Oryzias latipes: one gene and its partners. The protein of the gene in region 1 interacts with the protein of each later gene in a pairwise test. Links are inferred from orthologs where the notes say so. Each region holds a gene or a part of one and is shown on either strand. Other genes may lie near its edges. The genes, in order: gopc, rhoq, fosl2, hck, myocd and dpyd.

Region 1 (3,071 bases):
ATCGATGTCCGCTGTCGTCCTCATACTCCACGTTCTCGTCATCGCTGTCCACCTCCGGCGCCACGTACACCACCTCAAACTCTATCTGGCCTCTCTAAAACACAATCGCCACAATGAGTAGGTCAGAGAGCGCTCCCTGTGGCCACAGCGGGGACTGCAGCCACACCTTACCTGCTGTGACAAGATGGTGACTGCCTCCTTGTGCTTCGCATCCCTTAAATTGATGCTGTTGACCGCGAGGATGGCATCTCCGACGTGCAGGCCTCTACAACGGTCTGCAGGTTGACCGGGATGGATCTCAGAAATCAGGATGGGAACGCCGTGCTCCTTCCCGCCCTAAAAGGAAATCCAAGTTAAAGGATCTAAAGCCAAAACAGGATCTAAGAAGTTTAACACATTTGTTCCATTACTATTGCAGAGGGTTACTTAAGACCAAAGTGACAAATTCACTTCCTGAAAAGTCTAAGAAAGAATCTAAAACATGGCTGGTAATTGGTGCTTCCTTAAGGTTACATTTCCCAGATACAAAGTGCCTGGTTCAAACCAATGCCTTCTATGGGTCTACTATGTGTCAGATAGTTGCTTTATTTTTCACAAAAGAGGTCAATCGTGTATTTACCGTGATAGAAATCCCCAAGCCTTCATGGTCCTCTTTGACCAGCGCCACCTTCCTGATAGGACCGACTCCCTGCGTTTTCTTCAGCAAGTCATGTTCCTGGAATTGCACCGATAGCTTTTAGCGAAACCATGAAAACATGAACGGCATTTAGATGTTTGAGATCTCCACTCACGTGTCCCACAGGAGAGGGTAGAGGTTTCTTTGGGTCGATGCGACCTCGGCATGCCCGGATTACAGTTTTGTGGCGGTGGAGGTGAATCTCGGCCTCCAGCTGGTTCCACAGCTTGTCATGGGCGGGTCCCTTCATGTCCCGACCGAGTAACTGAATCTGCTGCACCCTGAAAGTCACAGTGCCAGCCTCTTAGGGAAGACAACCCTTAGACAACCTAAGTCTCGTTTACTCAATGAAAAAGATTCATCACCAGGTCTTATCTTTAAACCCGCTGCTCCCTCCAGCTTCTCACCTTCCAGCCAGCTCCTTGTCCAGATATTTGGCAGCCAATCTGGCTCCGTACACCTCAGCTTGCAGTACTGCTATGTGCCTGCGGAGGGCCTCGTTTTCCTTCCTAAACAGATGCACTTCTTTCTCCAGTCTGGCCTCAGCTAACTTCTCCTTCTTACCAGCCATAAGTTCCTGTTCCTGGAAAAAAAAGCACAACTAATCACGTTTGAGCTTTTGCAAACTGGCGACACAACAAACTATAGGTTTTAGGACGATTATGCTCCAAATGATCAAAATGTTATATATCATGACATAGCTAGGTTTATATCCTGATTAAGATATCAGTAACATTGCAACGTGGAAAGGCAGTGTGACACGACTAACTGAACAATGGTCATAGAAACTAAATACTTCTTTCACTTAGAACCTTTTTCCAAGTGTTAATCATGTTAACATCTACTGCTAAACATATTTACTATTTAGCATAGGCCAATTCCTAGCTGTGCCTGAATGCAGCGTCTGGACTTTTGTGTGACTTCTGCAGTCACTAGACGCTGCTTTTATAGCTTTTGCTTGTTGATTCTCTCTGCATTCTTGGTTATGGTTCCTGTAGAGACGACAAACTCCATTAGTTGTGTGTTTGTTGTTAGGACCGGTCAACAGGTGTTTTGCCAAAAGAGAAAACCCCCCTGCACCCCGTCTGACAGCGTTCCTCACCAGGAAGTGCTTTCTTTTTGACACAACACCTTACAAACTTTACAAACAAATGCTGTCTGATCCACGTCGGTCTTCTTCTATACAAACTACATTCATGCGACGGAACAATTTTCTAGTCTGGAGCGCATTTGCTACTGACTTCCTCCATGTTTGTTTGGTGTGAGGCACATTTTGACGGAAAATAGTACCATAAAGTTCCTAATTCTGTTTTGAGCCGTAGAGCTTCATAAAAAAACAATAGATATTTTCTCTCATCTAGATATACAAGTTTCTTTAGGATTTAGACCAAATCATTGCACAAAACGAAATTTTTCATTAGGATTGTTTGCAGTTATTAGATTTGGCGTAACCATAAAGTGCCATCTCAGAAAACATTCTCATGGAAAAAGTCAACGTTGACACTGACTGATGAGCTCATATTTCCATTTCCAAGATGGTGACTGGCCAAGTAATGACTGTAGCCAGTGAGGGGAGGGGAGGGAGTGGCGTTTCCACCCAACAAGCCACTGAAGCAGAGTCGACAAAGCAGCAGGAAGTAAATATCAGCTCAATGAGGGAAGCAACAGATCCCATGGTGTCAAATCTACAGCTACACCAAAGCGGAGAGGAGAACTTACCATCACCTCCAGAGTTGGTGCAGGCTTTAAGGACAGAAGAGGAGAAAGGACAGACAGAAGAAAATGTGGGTTAGAGAAACTCATCTTTGATTGGTGTTAATGTGTGCACAGGAAAGGCAAAAATGACAAAGAATCAAAGTGCATATCAGGGCTTCAGGATGGTGCTGAAAGGGAGCAGAAAACTGTAGATGGAAACAGTAAAAGACCAAACCATCAGTTGCAACAGTAAACAAAGGAGTTAAAATAAACATTCTATTTGTTTAAATCCCATATATTCTAAATGAAAGAAATGGAAAAATGTATTCTTTAGCAGTGAGGAGAAATCTTTGGTATGGCTGCTGGAGGTCATTTCATGCGGTTTGGATGTATTTCTACCTTTTCTTATCTTCTTTAGTTTCGCTGAGTCTCTTCAGCGTCATCAGAGATCTGCAGATAAAAGTGAATTTTCCACCACTGTGGCCTGCTGAGCTTACAGTGAGTGGAGGATTCTCCCGCCCCATTGAAGCCTCTGAAACCCAGATCTGTGTCTGTCACTGTTTGTCCCAGTGGAGCATTCTTCTGGAGACATTTATGATGTAAGAAGCTCCATAAAAACTCCTCTTTCTGAGATTCATTGAGGACATTAGTGCAGAGCAGTGGAGCTAAAAGCACAATGCTGTTTTAGTTTTGTAGTCGC
Region 2 (3,500 bases), on another chromosome or scaffold:
CCTCTCACATACTCTAATCCAACACTATCGCTGCAACAAAATTGGCGAGCAATATTCGAGCTATCCAGCCGTACAAAAATAGTCAGAAATGTCATTTTAATCTTAATTGTTTTATACGTGTCCATTATCATCAGAAAAATGTCACACAAACACATTTAGAAACAAATTTGAGCAAAGCGAGTCTTTAAAATGGCCTATTCCATGCTATTCTTAAGCCTTTTATGGTAAACTACATCAAGATATATCTATCTATCTATCTATCTATATATATATATGTATATATATATATATATACATACATACATACATGTGATAATATATTACCTTTGGCACACAAAAGAATGAAGTTTTAATCAAATATCTGTTATTTTCCTGAGCTTTTTTCCAACCAGGAAGTAAAACGCCTCTTTCTCTGAGGCTCCGCCTTGCGCTCCTTGTGGGTCCGCCCATTTCACGACATCATCCTAGAGCCGGCCTCAGCAGCGTGTCAGCGTCCCACACAGCAAAACAAACAACATCCAAACTTAATTATCCGAAAGATGGATGAGCATACTGAACGTATAAAAGGAAAGAGTTTAGCCGATCATCGCTAGCTCTGTGCAGAATGGGGGCGTGTCTGTTAGCCTGGGGGGGGCGGTGCTGGCAGGACAGACTCTTCCTGGAAGGGGCGGTTCTTTATTTGTCTACATCAGCTCGTGTGAATCTGACTCGTATTCCTGGGTTGGGAGGGGCCGGTGCTCAGAGTGCAGGTTTTTAGAGAAATACTCAGAAATGCGTGTCCTGCAGTTATGCAAATGCAAAAAAACAAAACGGAGTGACAGCTTAGTTTGAGTCTAAACGTGAAGTCAGTCAGTGGGAAAACCCTTTTCTAATACAATACTTTAACACGCTTAACCAGGTTAGGGAAAAATAAGGTCCCTTTGTAGCAAAAAAATACATTTCTCAATGATAAGCATGGAAACCAAAAGAAAAAAAGGGAAAACTGTTTTTTACATTCATTTGGAAGCAAACTGCAAAAGTGCACTTAAGTAAAAAGTTCTCTCCCAAACTAGCAAAAGCTTCAATATTTATTTATCTTCCAAAAACTGATGAGGACAATTGAGAATTTACGGTAAAATGGATGTAAAATTTTTTTCCACGGGTGTTAAGAACTAACCTGAGTACCGATGAGCAGGTAAGGGACGCTGGGGGCATATTCCTGCAGCTCCGGCACCCACTCCTCACGCACGTTCTGGAAACTGGCCGGGTTGACCACGGAGAAGCAGATGAGGAAGACATCGGTCATCGGGTAAGACAGCGGCCTCAGCCGGTCGTAGTCCTCCTAAAAGAAACAAAGATGGTGAATCTCTGGAGTCAGAGGGCAGACCTGCTTCATTTCTGTTCCCTACCGACTAAAAGATGATTTCCTTTATCACAGCTCTGATATTGGGCAGAGACAACAAAAGATGATGGGTTTTGTCCCCCATTTTGGATTAATGGTTTCACCTTCTTAAAGGCTTAAAGGTGCAGCTGCAGAACATGACAACCACACACCGTTATGTCCGACTATTTTAGGGGTGAAAGCAAAAAAAACAAAACCACATTCACTAAAAAAACAGCAACCCTTTGCTTGTGATCCATCTCACATTTTCTTCCGGCTGGCATTCAGAAAGCAGCAGGGAGAAACGCAGAGTCGATGCCTCTCAGGTAATTAGAGATGACTCAGCCTCACACAAACATGAGACAAACTCAATCAGACAAGCAAACACTCGCACAGCAGCGGATTCATGTTAGGGAGTTTGTTTTTTCAAATATAACTTTTTTCTGTCTTCATCCTTCTCCATCCAGACGATTCCAAAGGTTTCACAGATCGTCTTCACAGCACAGCCTTGTGTACTGATGGAGAGTTTGGCATAGACACCATTTTCTAAACTTCCTGGTGTGATATAATTGGTCTGGATTCAGCCAATTAAAACGCTCTGGTTCAAAAACGAAGCATTCTGAAAAAAGAAATCTCTATATTAACCCTTTTGGAGCATTTTCTTTTAATTATTTTACAGTTTGCTCTAATACTTTACCATTAAAACTGTTTTTTTTGTGTGGCAATAATCCCAGCTTCTATATTTTACTAATAGTTTTCATTATATTACATAGGCCTGCACAATAAATCGCTAATATATCGTTATCTGGAGATCAAGCTGTGCAATATGCATATCATAAAACCGGTAACCTTAAATGAGCTAAAACAATCTTATGGCAGCTTGAAGTATTTAACGAATCAAATTAATCCATCTATGCATTTGACCACAAGGATGGAGCCCTTTGATGTTAGATGCTCGCCTCCTGTGTAGACGAGGGTCATTTGGAGGTAATTTAAGTTATGTTATCTTATTTAATTTAAACTGTTGTATGATATCGTCATCGCAATATAGATCACTCATATCAGGAAATGAGTCTTCCTGATGACGTGCAGCCCTAATAGTAAAAAATAATTCAAAAATCAACCAGAAACTCCCAAAAACTCAATTCGGGTTGTAGATTTCGTCTTTTTTTTTACTACAAAAGCCACAAAAAATGATATCAAACAGGTTTAATATTTTACAACAATGATCAAACATCCAGAGAGAAAATAAAAGTGAACGAATCCACAAAGTAAATACGAGGTAAAAAACAACAACACAGAAATGTCTAAATAAAAAGGGTTCCACTCAAAGGGTTTATTCCAAGCAGAATCACAAATGTGTCACAACTCTTGTTATGTTTGTATGAAACCAAAAAATTCAAAGCTAAAAAGTGTTGATGTTAGATTTTGAATGAAAACTATACTAAGGGCCGGTTCAGCTGATGTGATTGGCTAATGCACAGGTGAGTTCAGAGACTTCTGAGGGATAAGAAATGATCCGATATTTGGTTTCACATTTTCAGAATAGGACTAAATCTACAGAAACGCGTGAACCTCCTTGGATAGCCCAAACATTAACTACTGAGGAGGTTAAAGGTATTTTCCAAAAGAAGTTTTGTCTCCGCTTTCACTTCTTCAAGTCAGTGGTCTTTTTTGGGTTGTTTTTTTTTGCTGCCTCGACAAAACCTCCAACAAAGAGGCTGAACTGTAAGAAAGAAGGAGTGCGTCTGGTAAATCTGTTCCATCACACAATGTATGGAGGGGAGTCCAGCTGCTGCTTTAATTATGGTCTTCTTCAGGCTGTCAGCCTAAAAAATTAAAATAAAAAATACTCTACATCTAAGGTTAAAGAGGTAGTTTGGGGTAAAGAGAGATTTGAGGATAGACTTCTATTCAACCTTGTTAAAGTGGTTCATGTGTTCCTCAGGAGCCGGGTTTTGGTTTCACAGGTCTGGTTCAGTTTTAATTTTGTTTTTTTCCTTGCAGTTTAATCTGTTACTCACTCAGTACACTTCCTTCTGCTATCACATTTTTTTTTAGCTATGTTGGTAAATTTCGACATATTTTTGGTTTGCATCCAGTGTAAATTTGCTGAGAAATTTTTGCAGAATTTGTTGCA
Region 3 (3,586 bases), on another chromosome or scaffold:
TGGTTCTTGCCTTCCTTCTAAAGAAAAAACTAAACTCCTGTACGAGCCTCCTGTTAGCATCACTGACAGATGAAAAGCCGTTTCTGCTGCAGACAGAAGGAGAAGCGTCCCGCTGCTCATGCCTCACAGACAGCTACAACATCTAAATGGAGTAAAATCCCAGTGAGGTGGAGCTTAACAGACCATAAAAATGAGCCCTGTGTGGAATTTAGACCCGGCTCGGGAAGGCAGGACGTTCTGTAAAGAGGCGACCGGCTCGACCCCGCAGCCCGTGCAACACTTCCACAGAAACTTAAAGTTCCTTTTTCACTCAGAGTGAAAAACGGTCTAAATGTTTGCAGTGTGTGTTGCCTTAAAGCACTGAAGAGCTTCGCTTCACCCCACCTTTCTTCAGTTCCTTGTTAACAACTTCCTCATACCTTTGCACACCAGCCAAAGTTCTCTGAGAGCATGAAAGCAGCACTTTTAGGGTCTGCCTCCTTTATCTACATCTGTTTTATTCTAAGACATGAATCACAATCACAGCCATGGCTGAATGCTCAAATCATGCTTGAGATTTTATGTCTTTGATAATGTTTAGAAGCCTTGTTTGGGTTTGTTGATTTTGCATGAAGAGGTAAACACTGCCCTCTTCTGGGGCTTTAGAGAAACGTCAACACCGCTGACAGCGTTCAAAGCTCAACTTCTGTTTCCTCTTTCCTCAGGAGACTGAGAAGCTGGAGGAGGAGAAGGCCGACCTGCAGAAGGAGATCGAGAACCTGCAGAAGGAGAAAGACAAGCTGGAGTTCATGCTCGTCGCTCACAACCCTGTGTGCAAGCTGCCCCTCTCCGAGCGCCACCAGCCCTCGGCGCAGCAGCAGCAGTGCAACCTGCTCCCGCTGTCCATGCGCCCCGGCGTGGGCTCCAGGGCTCAGATGAGCCAAGTGGTGGTGAAGCAGGAGCCGGACGACGCAGACGAAGGTTTGAACAAACCGCAGCGCTCCGTCATCAAGCCCATCTGCATCAGTGGCGGCGGCTTGTACTGTCCAGACGGAGACAGCCTGAACACGCCTGTGGTGGTGGCCTCCACCCCAGCCACGACACCTAATGCCCCCAACCTCATATTTACCTACCCCAACATGTTGGAGCCGGAGAGCCCCTCACCCTCCTCCGAGTCCTGCTCCAAGGCCCACCGGCGGAGCAGCAGCAGCGGCGGGGATCAGTCCTCCGACTCCCTCAACTCCCCCACCCTCCTGGCCCTCTGAGTGGAGGAGGCAGCCGACGCCAGGAAGTAACACTGTGGTCAAACCCCAGGGTCAACTGCCCCTTTACCCCCCTCCTGTGTTTTTGAAGCACATTCAAAAGTCTGGACCAAGTCGACTGCGTGAGCCGTCTCCCCTCCGGGTTTGAAGGAGGGGGGGGGCAATAAGTACCACGCCACAACCCCCCCACCCAAGGTGTGCAACAACCCTAAAGCATCATCCTGTCACCATTTCAACTCCAGGGGTCATCATGTTTACAGACGATTCTGAAGAAACCTGCCTGAACGTACGCGGCAATCATGACTGACGGGACCACAGAACAACTCTTTCCTAGATTTTTATTGACTTTATCCTAAAAGCCATGTTGTTGACACTTGCACTCTGCCAAAACGAATAAATGAATAAATCACTAAGCGAGGCCGGCATTTTTGCTGGAGTTTTATGGAGAAACAAAGACGTCGTCTTGGCTGTTTTTTCATTGAGATTTGTCTTTTCCTGTCGATATTGAGACTATAGGCTCTGAGAGTGTGTAGACTTTTCTGCTGTTTTCTCCATGACTTTCAGTGTATTTATGGCCTGTGCTAATGGAGTTTCAAAACTGTTTTGTTGTTCTCTTCTTCAATCCGCCTGTAGAAAAGCAGTTTGAGCCGAGCCCTCCTCAGTGTTGGGGAAAGAAACCCTTCAGCACTTCCTGTTCCGCCTTAGTGGCTTGACTTTCCAGTAGTATTGTGTGCTTTTCCTCAGCGATTCTGTATCTGAACTTTACGACCTGTTTTTTGACAAAGTGTACGTGATTTACATTGATGTCAGGGACGGTGTTTGGTGTGTCTTGAAGAGCGCGGCAGAGTTTCTGGCTGTTCCAGAGGCGGTGCGGCGAGCAGCAGCAGCCGCCGCCGCCACCTCGGACAGTTCTGTACGTTTGAACAAAACCTTCCTTCTGCGCAAAACATCTTTGTTTTCCAAACATCTCACTCTGGTTCAGCGCTCCATCTTGGGGGCCAGGCAGGTCTCAAGAAGCCAAAAATAAGATTCTTGTAAATCCTGTGATTTGTGTGTCTGTGTCTAAAAGGAGGATTTTGCTCAAATCAGGAGAAGCCTCTGTGGTCCAGACTGTCGCCACTCGCCAATGATGTCAACCCTCTTCTGCAGTGTTTGTATTTCAGTCTGTTTTTTTTTAGAAAAGAGTGGGAAAATCTCCTTTAGATGTTCTGATTTGGGGGTCCAGCCATCGACACAAAGCTCAGCTGGATCAGAACCCAACACAAGAGAGGATGAAGACCATAAACTGCATCAAGGAGTGGAAGCCAACAACCTTTTCAAAGAGGTTTAAACGCCACGCACTACGAAGGGCAGACCGGTGAAATTTGAATCTTGTCCTTTTGTTTACTTGAGACATTTCAATGAATCTACCGTCAGGTTTGCTTGAACCCTTTCTGTGATCAGCGGGGAAGAAAGTTGCGCTGGATGCAGAAACTGCATTTCTTTTGCAATTCAACACAAGCTGCTACTTGTTTGGGAGAAACACAGACACACACATGCTGGGTGTTTCTATTGGGGTGTAATGTGACTAGCTGTTATCGGGGCCCCCCAGCCTGCAGGACGGCCCCAACGCAGCACTCTGTCTGCATGCTGGAATTCTATGGAGCCCTTCAACACACATAGGAAAGCCATGGACTGTAGATCTTCTGCTCTACATGTCACCTGTTGTCTGTTCTACTGTTAATTTTTTTTTTTCAAATGCTTTAACTGTTTCAAATAATTCAAAATGAGTAAAAACAGCAATATGTAAAGCAGTGTTTGTTAATTTAAAAGATAAATGATAATAAAATAATTTTCAACTTGGAATTGTTTCTTTTCTTATTTGTTGGTTTGTGGTTCTGGCATCGGGTGGAATCACGTCCTCCTAGTTCATCTGGATGATTTACTCAGAGAAATATTCAACGGCTGTCTTGACTTTGATTTAGATGAATCATAGAAAATAGGTTTAGGTAGTAAATGCATAAATTCAAAGGCTGCACAGGAGAGAATCACAAATAAAAGTAAAAATATTTGTAAAAAATGACAATCAAAGGCCTTTCTGAGTCGATGATGGGAATCAATGACAGCTAGAAGGTCGTCCATTATAGTGTTTTTAACACGAGGAGTTTTTTCATGGACAGGAGGCTTTGCTATGTGATGGTTCAGCTGCGTAAATGCCTAAGGTAGGGCAGCAGAATGGTGTAGTGGTCAGCACTTCTGCATCACAGTGAAGATGTCCTGGTTCAAATCCCAGGTAGGTCCTTTTTTTGTGTGGAGTTTGCTTGCTCTCAGCGTGCACGTGTGGGTTTTCTCTGGGCAATGCAGCT
Region 4 (2,797 bases), on another chromosome or scaffold:
AAGCCCAGAAGATGGTGAGAAAATTCAGCTATGTTTCTGCTGATCTCCAGGGATGACCAACCCAGAAGTGATCCGCTCCCTGGAGAAAGGCTACCGAATGCAGCGCTTGGAGAGCTGTCCTACCGAACTCTATGACATAATGTTGGATTGCTGGAAGAATAAAGCAGAGGAGCGCCCCACCTTTGACTACCTGCAGAGCATTCTGGAAGATTTCTTCACAGCCACTGAGAGCCAGTATCAGCAGCAGCCTTGAGTCGCATTACATTTGTTTCTTATGTGTTCTGTACGTATTACATACCCACTGAGCCTTTTCATTTATCCTTCTTTGTCTTTTCATACTCAAAAAAAAGAGTCTTATTACAACGTAGCTCAGTCATTTTCCATACATCCACGAATAAGCGATAACTAAAAAGTTCATGCTTTTAGACTTAAAATAAGTTAATTTTATCATCAAAACTATTTTTCTTTTTTTGTGTGTGGGGGGGGGGGTAAACCACTTGTCTGAAAAAAGTTAGATCATCAGCGAAGAAATCAACTTTTATTTGGCGTTGTAGAGCTGTTACAGGCGAATACGATTTGCACGGCCAGTTTCAATGTTAAGTCATTGTACAGACGCCGTCAGAGGTCCTGCGTTGCATTTGGAGTGTTGGTTGCAGCGGTCTGGTGGCAGCACGTTGCAGCAAAAATTCTGACGTGCGATATTTCCAGAGTTCAAACATCAAAACTTTCGCAAAGAATATGTGTCACATAAACCAATCAGAAACTTAGCTTTGACCCGTGACGCATTGATGGCGTGATCAGGGGGGTGTAGTCCAGAAGTGATCAATGTAGATTTTTTGGTCAGTGGAGATCATTACCTCTTCCTGTAAGGTTTGGAAATCCCTCCTCCACTTCCTTTTTTACCCCAGTTAAATCAGGCTTTGAAAAACCCTGTTTTTCCGACCGCTTTTAGCAATTTGGGTTGTTTGATATTTTCCGAAGCAGCTTAATGTAAATATGTTATCTTGAAAGAATTTTATAACGCCTTTTTTCAAATAATTGGGAATGGGCTTATAATTCCTGTCATTTATTCCAATGCATCGGCTTTAAAAAAAAACAACAGCTCACTTTTTTAGCTGCAGGCTACTTTGCATATTTAAACCTCGTGCACCTCTATTTCAACAGAAAAAGCATTGTCTTGCTATATCATCTACTTTTTGGAGGCTTGTTTAACATCAGTTTTTCACTTATAATAGATTTATTTGTCCTATTACAGTTTAGTTCAATTTCACCAATAACAGGAACGCATCGTTGGATCATAAAATGTCTGCATAGCAACCGTGCAAAGCTCGGATCCGTCTAGACGCATAATAAATCAAACTGTAGCGTCGTCTGTTAGAAGAAAACTGCATTATACAAACAGCATTTTGGTTTTCAAAAGTGGCTCTCTTAGTGTAAAAGATGTATTTTATAATGTAATAAACAAAATGAGTGTTGCAAGTCAGAAACTCATTTTTCTTGTCCCATCTGAAATGCCCTTAAAATTCCAACACTGCAAAGTAAAAACTGCTTTTTCAAACATAGAATAGTTTGAAGGCTCATATCATATGGATAGAAAGTCTTCTTTCTTTACAGGAAGGCTGTTTTTTTCTGTCTGCAAACCTTTTTATTTTATATATCAAACTGAGCTTATTTCCTCACAGTGCCTTCTTAATACAGTAGCCATAAAACCCTGTGTATGATCTGTTCACAAAGTCTTGCGGAAGTTTAGTGTTTTTCAATAAAACAATATATTTTTATTGCTGTGTAACTTATTTTTAAAAGATGCATAAATGTAACAAGTTGGAGAGGTACCGTACATATTTCAATGATATGGTGACTGGAGCAGCATTTTATTCCCAAGAGCTTTTTATATCTTTGTGTTAAAGGGTGCATGTGAATGACTAGTGATGGCTGCTTTTTCCTTTGCTGCAGCATCTGTGTCTTTCTCATATGTTGTTTGAATATTCATAATGGTTTTTGCACATTTAAACTATGTTTGGTGACAGAAAATCAGAGAAATTTAAAGGGAAGCTATGAGCCTGCAATAGAAATGATTTTGTGCTGGCATAAATTGACCCACTATTTATCAAAATCTGTGAAGCAAAGATCTAAGACGTTTGTGCTTTTCCTAAATTATTATGATTGAAAGAATTTGCAAAGTTCTGTATATAATCATAGGAATATGTTTATTTTTTTGTTCATTCTCTCTACCAATATGAATCTTTTTGCAGCATCTGCACCTGAAATGTTAAAATAAATAGTTTTTAAAAAGCAAATGTGTTATTAGTTTGTTTTCATTTATTGTTAGAATTGTGTTCATTCTTTTTTTTTTTTTTTTTTTTTTTTTTTTTTTTTTTTTTTTTTTTTTTTTTTTTTTTTTTTTTTTTTTTTTTTTAAAAAAAAAAAAAAAAAAAAAAAAAAAGAATTGTGTTCATTCTTAAAAGATCGTAATGAAGCTATTGGGAAGAGTAGTGGAAAGTTAGCTGAGGTTAGAAGGGAACATTTGGGGTATGGTGAGCAACAGTTTGCAAAGAAGAAGAACCAAAGATGCAAAATTTGCTTTGACCCTTGTGCTATTCTAGGCACTTTGACGTTGGGAGTTGGGTCATCTAGACCCACTAGACAGTGCGCTGAACCTTTTTTCTTCAATGATCTGTGATCTTCACTGGTGTCCATGGATTACATGAAATCCTCTTCACCTTTATCCACCTTTGTCATGGTAGGGAGAACAGGTCAATGGAAGGGTGGGGTCATCTAAGATAGCACAAGGGTTAAG
Region 5 (4,144 bases), on another chromosome or scaffold:
TTGTTTTATGGAACTGGAGAAATTGGAGGTCAAAGTTCAGTTAGGTGTCATCGGTGACCAAAGAACACACGCCATCTGACGTGCCGTAACGCTTCAACTATATACGCGATCACTGTGAATCAGCGGATTGGGGCTCAGCTTATATTTGACACGCAACACTTAACGTTCCATATGCAACCTCTAAAGTCCCACTCTGATCATCTTTTGATCTGTTCTCAAAGCGTTCCCAGTGGTCTTTTCATGATAATTATGTTCTTTTTGACCCAAGAAAATCCAAAAAAAAACCTGTTGTTTCTGGGACATAGTTTCTGCAGAGCAGCAGGGGTCCTTTAGAAATTCACCTCTTAATGTGGGTGGGATTGATGGCGTGGAATAAGCCAGCGCTCATTTCCAATCAGCTCTCTGTTTACATTCTCTCCTGCTATCTTACAGCCCCTTACAACCCTGCTAACATTGGCGGTGCAACAAAAATGGCGAGCATTATCAGAGGTATCCAGCCGTGCAGTTGTGATCCAGATTCCAGCTCAGGCGAGGAAAACAAAGACATTCATGAATCTATTAGTCTATAAGTGGATGCATCAGAATAGAACTGAGCAGGGAGCTTGTGGCAAAACTTCAAGCTTTTCGAAACAGCATTTTTTCATTTGATTTATCATTATTTGAATAAGGAAAAACTCAGAAACACAGTTTTAATCTTCATTTTCTTTAGATGTGTCCTCCATTGGCAAGAAAAATGCTACAAAGGCATGTTAAAAACACGTAAAAACACTATTTTCATTGGAGGGGTTCTTTAAAGTTCAATATTTAACACCTCATGTTCGATATAAAACACTTTATCTTTAATATGCAACGGCAGGCCAAAGAATGTAACGCTGGAGCTAAAGCTCAGGTGTTAAAGGGTTAAAAAGTGAGTGCAGGGAAGATCCAGCCTAATGGAGAGCATGGAAGAAGCTCCAACCCTTGGGAATGAAAATCTTCATTTGACCTTTTTGTTGTTTCCTGAAAAGAACCAAAGTTTTTTTTATTTCAAATTTGCTGAAGACTTCTAAATTGTTTTTTGGAGCCGGAGAAGTGACTGAAAATGGGGACCAATGAGAGAAAAAGCTATGAAAAGAAAGAAAAAAAGGGGGGTTCCTAACTTTTTTTAATGTTATTGTCAGTATGCAAGCCAGAAGCTTCCCGCCCTCTTCTCTGTACCCCCCCCCCCCCACACACACACACACACACACACACAGTTGCTGTGCTCCCCTATCAGACTGCAAGTCTCTATCTTGATCTTTTTCTCGTCATCTACAGTAATCCCCTTGCCCCCCCTAATGACAGTCAGCTGGGCTGATAGGCAGATATATTTACTCTGGTGGCGCGGGAGGAAGGAGTCATCAGCCGAACCCTGCTGCGCCTCGGGCCTCGTGGGAGGGGCTTGGAGGGAACCCTGGCTGGTTGGCCCCTCCCTGAGCGGGGCATATCTGTGTGTTGTCCCTGGCGTGCTCAGAGCTCTCAGCTGGATGGGACCAAAGCCTCATCGGCCCACAGACTCACAGAGAGGAGAGGAGGCAGAAAGCGGCTCTCCACAGCTCTTTTCCTCCATGAGGCAGAGCGGGCCTCTTCTTCTTCGTCTGGGCAGCAGCGGAGGTCGCCAGGGTCAACGTCAAGGGGGCTGCTTTTTGCGACCTGCAAGCGCTGGAACTGTACTGTGAACATTATGACTCTGCTGGGCTCTGAGCACTCCATCCTCATACGAAGAAAGTTCAGATCAGGTGGGGAATCTTCCTGTTTCTGCTGTCTTTGTGGGGGGGGGCTGGCAGTGAGAGTGGCAGGTGCAGGGGGGGGGGGGGGGGGGGTGACTTCAGCTGTAATGGATTTAGATCTGGGATGTTGTCACAGGTTGCTGCACTTGTTCTCCACAACCGGCGTCCTTGCTGTGGGGAGGGGGGTTGGAATTAAACAGCCATGTGGAGGTCAGAGGTCATCTGAATGTGGATAATGGAGGGCATGCATGTGTCCTGCGCTTCAAAGAAGTCTTTTTCCGTCCCTTTTCCCTGCTCCAGCCTGTCGGCGCTGCAGTCTGACCAACACTGCCCCCTCCCTGAAGGAAGGAGGCAGGAGAAGCAGCATGGCTGCGAGCGTGGTAATTACAGAGATGGAGAGGCAAATGACGCTTTTCCTCTGAGCTGCTCGGAACGACCGGAAAGCGGCATCTGTGCTGGGGGGGGGCATGAGACGGTGGCTACCAGACTGTGTTGCTGTAACCCGGGCACCCCTAACGCGCCACAGATGCAGTGTGCAGCCTGATGTTTCAGTCACACGGCCGATAACAACCAGCGAGCTGATTCATGAGAGCATGGGTGAAGCCACGAGGGGGTGTCAGAGAAGTGAGGTCCCCCGCGATTACTGCTGATGACAGACAGGGAGGGTGTGGGACAGTCCTCTTAAAGCTGGAGCTCCCCCGACAAAAGGCGCCTTCTCGCCTCCGCCCCAGGAGAGGATAAAGATAAACTTCTCCTTCAGGAGCTCCTCCGTCTTCTGCTGCGCTGAGCTCAAACTCCATGACGGAGTCTTAAAGACCCACTCTGGTGAAAGCTTGTGGCTTTTTTTTTTTTTTTGATAATGGAGGACATATATATATAAAGGAAATTAATCTTAAAACTGCATTTCTGACTATTTCTTTAGTCAAATTGTCATAATTAAGGAGCAGACCAAAAAAAAGTCAGCTGTAAAATTATCATATTTTTTTAGTAGAAAATGCAGATGGGGCCAGAAACTTCCCGCTCCTCTCCATTCTGATGCATCCACTTCCAGACAAATAGATCCATTTCTGTCTTTGTTTTCCTCGTCAGAGCTGGTGTCTGGATCTAAACTGTGAGGCTGAATGGCTCCGATATTTGAGGCCATTTTTGTTGCCATGGTAATGTTAGGTTGGGGTTGTGAGGGGCTGTAAGATAGCGGGAGAGCTTGTAAACAGAGAGCTCTCAGTAACGGGGAGGGGAAGTGGGAGCGGGGTTGCTCTGGGCCATCGGCCACAACTCGGAGGTGAATTCTCATTTTTATGTAAGAATCACATGCTTTTTACAGAAAATGTTTAACGTGAGGAGGTAGTATAAAATGTGACACTGACGATGAATTTTTACCTGGCAAAGATAAAACCTACAACTTTATTTGTCTGATTTTAACCAAACCAACTCCATCCATCCATCTTCAGAGCCCACTAATCCCTTTCAGGGTGACGGGGTTGTTGGAGTCAACCAAGCTGCTGGGTGAAGGCGGGCTACACCTTAAACAGGTCACCAGTCCACTGCAGGGCGCCAAACCAACCTAAAATACAGATTTCAATGATGTCGCAAAAGGATTTGATTATCCTTTTTATGATCTTCAAAGAATTCTACAGCAAATCAATCTGCAAATAGTACACAAGAAAAACAACTATTTATTAGGAGTTAAATGAAAATTAAGCTTTAGAAACTATCAAATCTGTATGAATGTTTCGTTTTTCCAGGGCATAAGTCCAGTCAGCGCTTTAGGCTGCATTACTGGCTTTTATAAAATGCACCAAACAATTTACACTGCAGGCTAAAGCAGCAGGAGGAGCAGCTCCGCATGGCAAAAACTGAATCTTATGAACATAATAAAAAAAGATTTTAAGACAAAATATCTCATTTTGTCTTAAAAGAAAAATAATCTTCTATCCAGAAAGTTTTTCAGTAGCAGAATAATCTGAGTTTGAGAAAACGTGAGAAAAACTTTTTTCTTGGGATAAGAGTTCTGGTTAAGAGCATTTTTCAACCTATTGGAAATTTTGCTTGTTTTAAGAAAATTAATCACATTTGTGACACATTTTCTGAAGGCGTTTTTAAAATGCACTGAGAACCAACGACCAAGCAGCTTTAGAAGGTTCTTGGAGATCCTGTTCACCGACCAGCGCAAGAAAACACACAACGACGATGCAACCAACCCAGGACAGGACAGAGAGGAAGCCCTTTCAAAACAGAAAAAAGAGGGAGAATTCTCAGCTGTCTCCAAACTTTTTCCTGGTTTCAAAGGGTAAAAGGGGAGGCAGCGCTCCTTCAGAGCATCCCCTCCCTGGTTTGTGTTCACGGCGGTGGCGTGAGGCCGTACCTCACACACGCTGTAAATCTGAGCTCTTGTA
Region 6 (4,167 bases), on another chromosome or scaffold:
GCCTTGTTGCTAAGCAACTCCCCCAGACCCATACTCTAGCATAAGAGTGTGCCTAATGATAAGCCAAGTCCTCACAATGATTTGATATGTCAAGCTGCACATCTTTGTGCTTTTGAAGCTGAAAAACGTACTTTGAACACGCAAAATGCACAAAAATATTCTTAAAAATGAAGGGTTTTGGATGTTTTGCACTTTATCTACTTGGTAGATTTGTTGGAAACATTTGATGACGTATTTGTGGTATTACAGTCACTTAATGCCAATATAGTAAAACAAAAGTAAACATGGCAATTAAAAATAACCTTTTTTTTAAAACACATTTGTAGTTGCTAATGACATTGTGTACACAAAACATGCATCCAAATGCTTCTTCCAACAACTGAAACAGCAGCTCAGTCTTATCTAATTTTTAAGGGACTCAAAAGTGTCAATCATAAATCAAGCACAGGGACCAATTCAGTTCCACAAATGGGCTAAACCTTAAAAGTAAAGTACGTCCAGGTTTTAGGCTGTGACTATAACAATGGATTTGAGGTGACGAGACATATGTCTATTATAATAATTATGAAGCACACTTGATAAAAATAGAAGGGAAACCAATGTGCTTGAGTTCTACCTCTTTACCTGTGTGTATTCTCTTATGTGTCCTCAGTTATATGCAGATATTAATTCCACTAACATTGTCTTTAATTGCAAATTGAGGAGGGGGGGGGGGGGTCCTGCATTATTGATTGACGTACAAGCAACCCAAAAACTGACACCTGAAAGCACCTGAACACATGGCTTTGACTTTAACAGATCACATTGGCTTTGACTGAGAAAGGTGTTTCATATTTGTCTACATTTTTAGCATCAGATAGTGTATGTTGTTCCATTTGTGACATTGTTTTTTTGTGTGCCCCACATAAAGTATAAATTACACAACATAACAAAGCAGCATAAACACGTGGGAGTTGCCTCAAGTCTCATCTTATTCAGCGCAGCAGTGGCAGAAGGGACACATTTGGCAGAATCGTGCTCCCGTCCTCTTCATTGTAGGTTCAGTTCTGAAATGTCTGCCTTTACAAATGGGTCATGCATTGCTTAAATCATAAAGTAATACACTAAGTTATTATCAGAATGTTTAAGCCTATACAACCAGAAAACAAGTTCACTTGAGGCAGAAAATGATTAACAATCCTGTACACGGTGAAAAAAATGCCAAGAGGCCTCAACCCCCTATCAGAGGTGGATTTTGAACTCAAAAGATTACAATGTTAACTCTTTCCCATATCAAAGGTCAAGTCCAGCCTACTTGGAAACATGCCCACTGTCCACCTATCAGCCAGCGGGCATTTGGAAGGAAGCAAAGTTGGTGACGTTGTCTGACCTTTCCTGCAAGAGAGGGAAGAGGGCAAGCAACTGAGACAGTCACTTTTTGGAGCTCCTGGGATCAGAGCTGTCCCGGACAGTGCTTCGGACGCATCTAATCCAGAAAAACCTGCTGGGATCTCCTTCACTATATAAAAAAAAACCTTTTTGTTGCTGATCGAGGCAGAAACATGCTGAGTAAAGATCTTCCAGACATTGAGGTAAATTGTGCTTGCTAAAGAAGCTACCGGAGTCTCACTCTAGTATTCTGATCAAACAACTTAAAAGCTTAAAATGTTCTGTTTATATTTACTGGTTGATTTGGATGGAAAATCAAAACCAGAATCATTTAAAGACACAGAGATTTAGACTTTTGTCTTAATTTACTTTTCCAATCACATCCACTAAAATACTATGAGGTCAATTTAGTTGTATGGCTTTTTTCAGAAAAACAGATTGTGAAATTTGCCTTTTTTAAGTCATTTCACAATTATGTTCTGGAAAACCAAGTGTTTTTAGGAAGTTTAAAGCCATTACAGAGTAAAAACGCCATGCATTTAATAGTTTTAAAATATAACCTTGAGAATGGAGGCACACTTTCCGGAGTAGAGGTTCAGAGTTGTCACCTTTTTAAAATTTTGATTAATTCTTGATTTTTTAATTTTTTATTTGATTAATTAATAATTAAGTGAATGCTCCAAATAAAGAAAAATGAAGCTGTGATCTACAAGCTAGATGGAAACATTTCCTTTTCATTGAAGCAGATTTAATGGCTGCAAAAACTTTAACAGGGCAGCAGGAAGGAAGTCCATCTTGCACAATTTTGCAGGAAAATTGCAACCGTTGCATTAATGCAAAAAGGAATATAAAAATAAAAACATCTGAAAAAGTTTACATGAATATGCATTCTACAGAGATGTAAAAACTTCTGGAAAATGACAAAATTGAATTTGTGAAATCTTTTAAGCCGTGCAAGTGAAAAACCCAAACTGAGGCCCAAAGGACATAAGCAATGTCCCTGCAGAGTCCTGGAAGTGAGAATTTGGAATAAAAAAATATTAAATGCAGCAGAACTCAGAATAGACTTTCCACCTTTGCCAGGCTTCAGCTGTGACATTTTTCATTATAAGCATCACCAGATTCTAAAGTAAAGTCATACACTTGGGTAAAAGAAAATCCAGACATTGGACCTTTGCTTTTTTTTTACAATTTTTTCTCTTTAAGTGGCCAGTTATCACAGTTTAAAAGCCTTAACTTTGCTCATGGGTGAAATTAGTTGAATTCAAAATGTTTAAAGCATTACTCAACCAGACATGTGCATTATGCACTCGATGAGGATCAGTGGCACGTGGCTGAAAGGGGGGGACACGGTGTTCTCGTGGAAAGGGGGAGTCTCCCTTTGCAAGAGATTCTGAGCATGTAGTAAATGTTTAGCAACAGAATGGGGGTTGAAAAACTCATGTGGCAAAGTGTACATTATCCAGACTAGGGGCAGAAAACAATTATTTACAAAAAAAATTACAAATGACTTATTTTCTGTATTGAGAACAGCATTAGAAAAAAATCTAAATCTGTATAATCTATCAGGATTTTTGTCAGAATCACATTTGTGAGTGAAGTTTGAAGCTTGGAAGTTCTTCAAGCGTTACATTTTTAAACTACTTTTAAACAGTAACCAACATTGACCAAAAGGGACAGAGCTGAAGCATCATGCTTATCAAAGTCTATCCAAACTGGATATGAGACACAGCAACCTTTGTCATTTCGTCCCTTAAGTCTTTCGTCCCTTAAGTCTATTATAAGACTGTCTCATCTCAAATAAATTAGTAAATTGACCAGAAATTAGACACATTTTATGTAAGGTTTACATTTTATACAGGCCAGAGTTACCACGACTCTGCTCTAACATGCTGTTTTGTTTTAAATACTCTTGATCTAATTGGATAAATAATTTTGTATTAAGGACTCGCCTTCGTGACATTTAATTTTAATGTTTTAGCTGTCATGTGTAAAATGTCAGTAAGCCTAAGATTATCATCTTGCTGTTATCGTATCACTTTGAAACCAATCATTCAAAATGCCAGATTTCCAGGAATGTTCAAAAGTCTGAACAGCAAATTTCTCCTATTCCTATTACAGCATTTGACAATAACATCTCAAAAATTTGGTTGGGGGTTTAGGATGTTTAGATCATATTGAAGAAAACAGCTGGAAAAAGGTTTTTCTGTATAACCTGTAAGTAACTTGCTTCTACTTTGGTTTTACCAGCATAGTTAGTTTTTGGCAATGTTTTACTAAAAGTAATCATCTTAGCTGATGTAGGGCAAATAAATACAAAAAAGTACTATTATTAAAATATTAATTTCCCTGTATGACCAACAGGGGTTGGACTCTACTAAAGTGAAGCATTGTTTATGAGTGATGAAAGGGAATTTACTATTGTGGAGTTCATTTTTTTCTTTCTTGTTACATTTCTGCAAAGAAAAATTGGAGTCTGTTTCAAAACCACATGCAGAAGCCAAGAAGGGCTGAAGTTACATTTTTAGTTTTGTTATATTTTTTGCTCTGTCAAATTTTGGAAAAGATATTGTTAAGAATATTTTCTTGCGTTAAACAAAAGTAGCGTTGAAATCCTGGGGAATAAATACAAAATCAATCACCTTTAATCTGAATGACAGGTTAAAATAACCATTGAGTTGCACTTGATGGTACATTCTGGCCACTTGTATAAGTCTTTCCCTGTAAGTTATTTAAAGAATAATTACTATTTCCATTTAGAGTATTTTGCTTTTATTGGATCATGCTGTTTTTCTTTTC

The links.
Region 2: the proteins of gopc (region 1) and rhoq interact in a two-hybrid assay, tested with the Homo sapiens proteins (2 studies listed by BioGRID). The link is inferred for Oryzias latipes from reciprocal best matches to the Homo sapiens genes GOPC and RHOQ.
Region 3: the proteins of gopc (region 1) and fosl2 interact in a two-hybrid assay, tested with the Homo sapiens proteins (2 studies listed by BioGRID and IntAct). The two-hybrid records come from large-scale screens. The link is inferred for Oryzias latipes from reciprocal best matches to the Homo sapiens genes GOPC and FOSL2.
Region 4: the proteins of gopc (region 1) and hck interact in binary tests that used the Homo sapiens proteins (3 or more experiments, as listed by UniProt). The two-hybrid records come from large-scale screens. The link is inferred for Oryzias latipes from reciprocal best matches to the Homo sapiens genes GOPC and HCK.
Region 5: the proteins of gopc (region 1) and myocd interact in binary tests that used the Homo sapiens proteins (3 or more experiments, as listed by UniProt). The two-hybrid records come from large-scale screens. The link is inferred for Oryzias latipes from reciprocal best matches to the Homo sapiens genes GOPC and MYOCD.
Region 6: the proteins of gopc (region 1) and dpyd interact in a two-hybrid assay, tested with the Homo sapiens proteins (2 studies listed by BioGRID and IntAct). The link is inferred for Oryzias latipes from reciprocal best matches to the Homo sapiens genes GOPC and DPYD.

The regions. Positions count from the first base shown.
Region 1 is NC_019882.2:11,944,021-11,947,091, reverse strand, and holds part of gopc (Golgi-associated PDZ and coiled-coil motif-containing protein), read right to left. Parts: intron 2,420-3,071; coding exon 2,396-2,419; intron 1,260-2,395; coding exon 1,084-1,259; intron 958-1,083; coding exon 792-957; intron 716-791; coding exon 620-715; intron 337-619; coding exon 172-336; intron 95-171; coding exon 1-94.
Region 2 is NC_019873.2:6,511,490-6,514,989, reverse strand, and holds part of rhoq (rho-related GTP-binding protein RhoQ), read right to left. Parts: intron 1,322-3,500; coding exon 1,157-1,321; intron 1-1,156. UniProt on the Homo sapiens protein: Plasma membrane-associated small GTPase which cycles between an active GTP-bound and an inactive GDP-bound state. In active state binds to a variety of effector proteins to regulate cellular responses. Involved in epithelial cell polarization processes.
Region 3 is NC_019880.2:25,929,628-25,933,213, reverse strand, and holds the end of fosl2 (fos-related antigen 2), read left to right. Parts: intron 1-704; coding exon 705-1,244; 3' UTR 1,245-3,086; downstream 3,087-3,586.
Region 4 is NC_019865.2:5,151,761-5,154,557, reverse strand, and holds the end of hck (tyrosine-protein kinase HCK), read left to right. Parts: intron 1-50; coding exon 51-253; 3' UTR 254-2,297; downstream 2,298-2,797. UniProt on the Homo sapiens protein: Non-receptor tyrosine-protein kinase found in hematopoietic cells that transmits signals from cell surface receptors and plays an important role in the regulation of innate immune responses, including neutrophil, monocyte, macrophage and mast cell functions, phagocytosis, cell survival and proliferation, cell adhesion and migration.
Region 5 is NC_019877.2:20,228,182-20,232,325, reverse strand, and holds the start of myocd (myocardin), read left to right. Parts: upstream 1-1,344; 5' UTR 1,345-1,702; coding exon 1,703-1,757; intron 1,758-4,144. UniProt on the Homo sapiens protein: Smooth muscle cells (SM) and cardiac muscle cells-specific transcriptional factor which uses the canonical single or multiple CArG boxes DNA sequence. Acts as a cofactor of serum response factor (SRF) with the potential to modulate SRF-target genes.
Region 6 is NC_019875.2:21,094,915-21,099,081, reverse strand, and holds the start of dpyd (dihydropyrimidine dehydrogenase [NADP(+)]), read left to right. Parts: upstream 1-1,367; 5' UTR 1,368-1,541; coding exon 1,542-1,571; intron 1,572-4,167.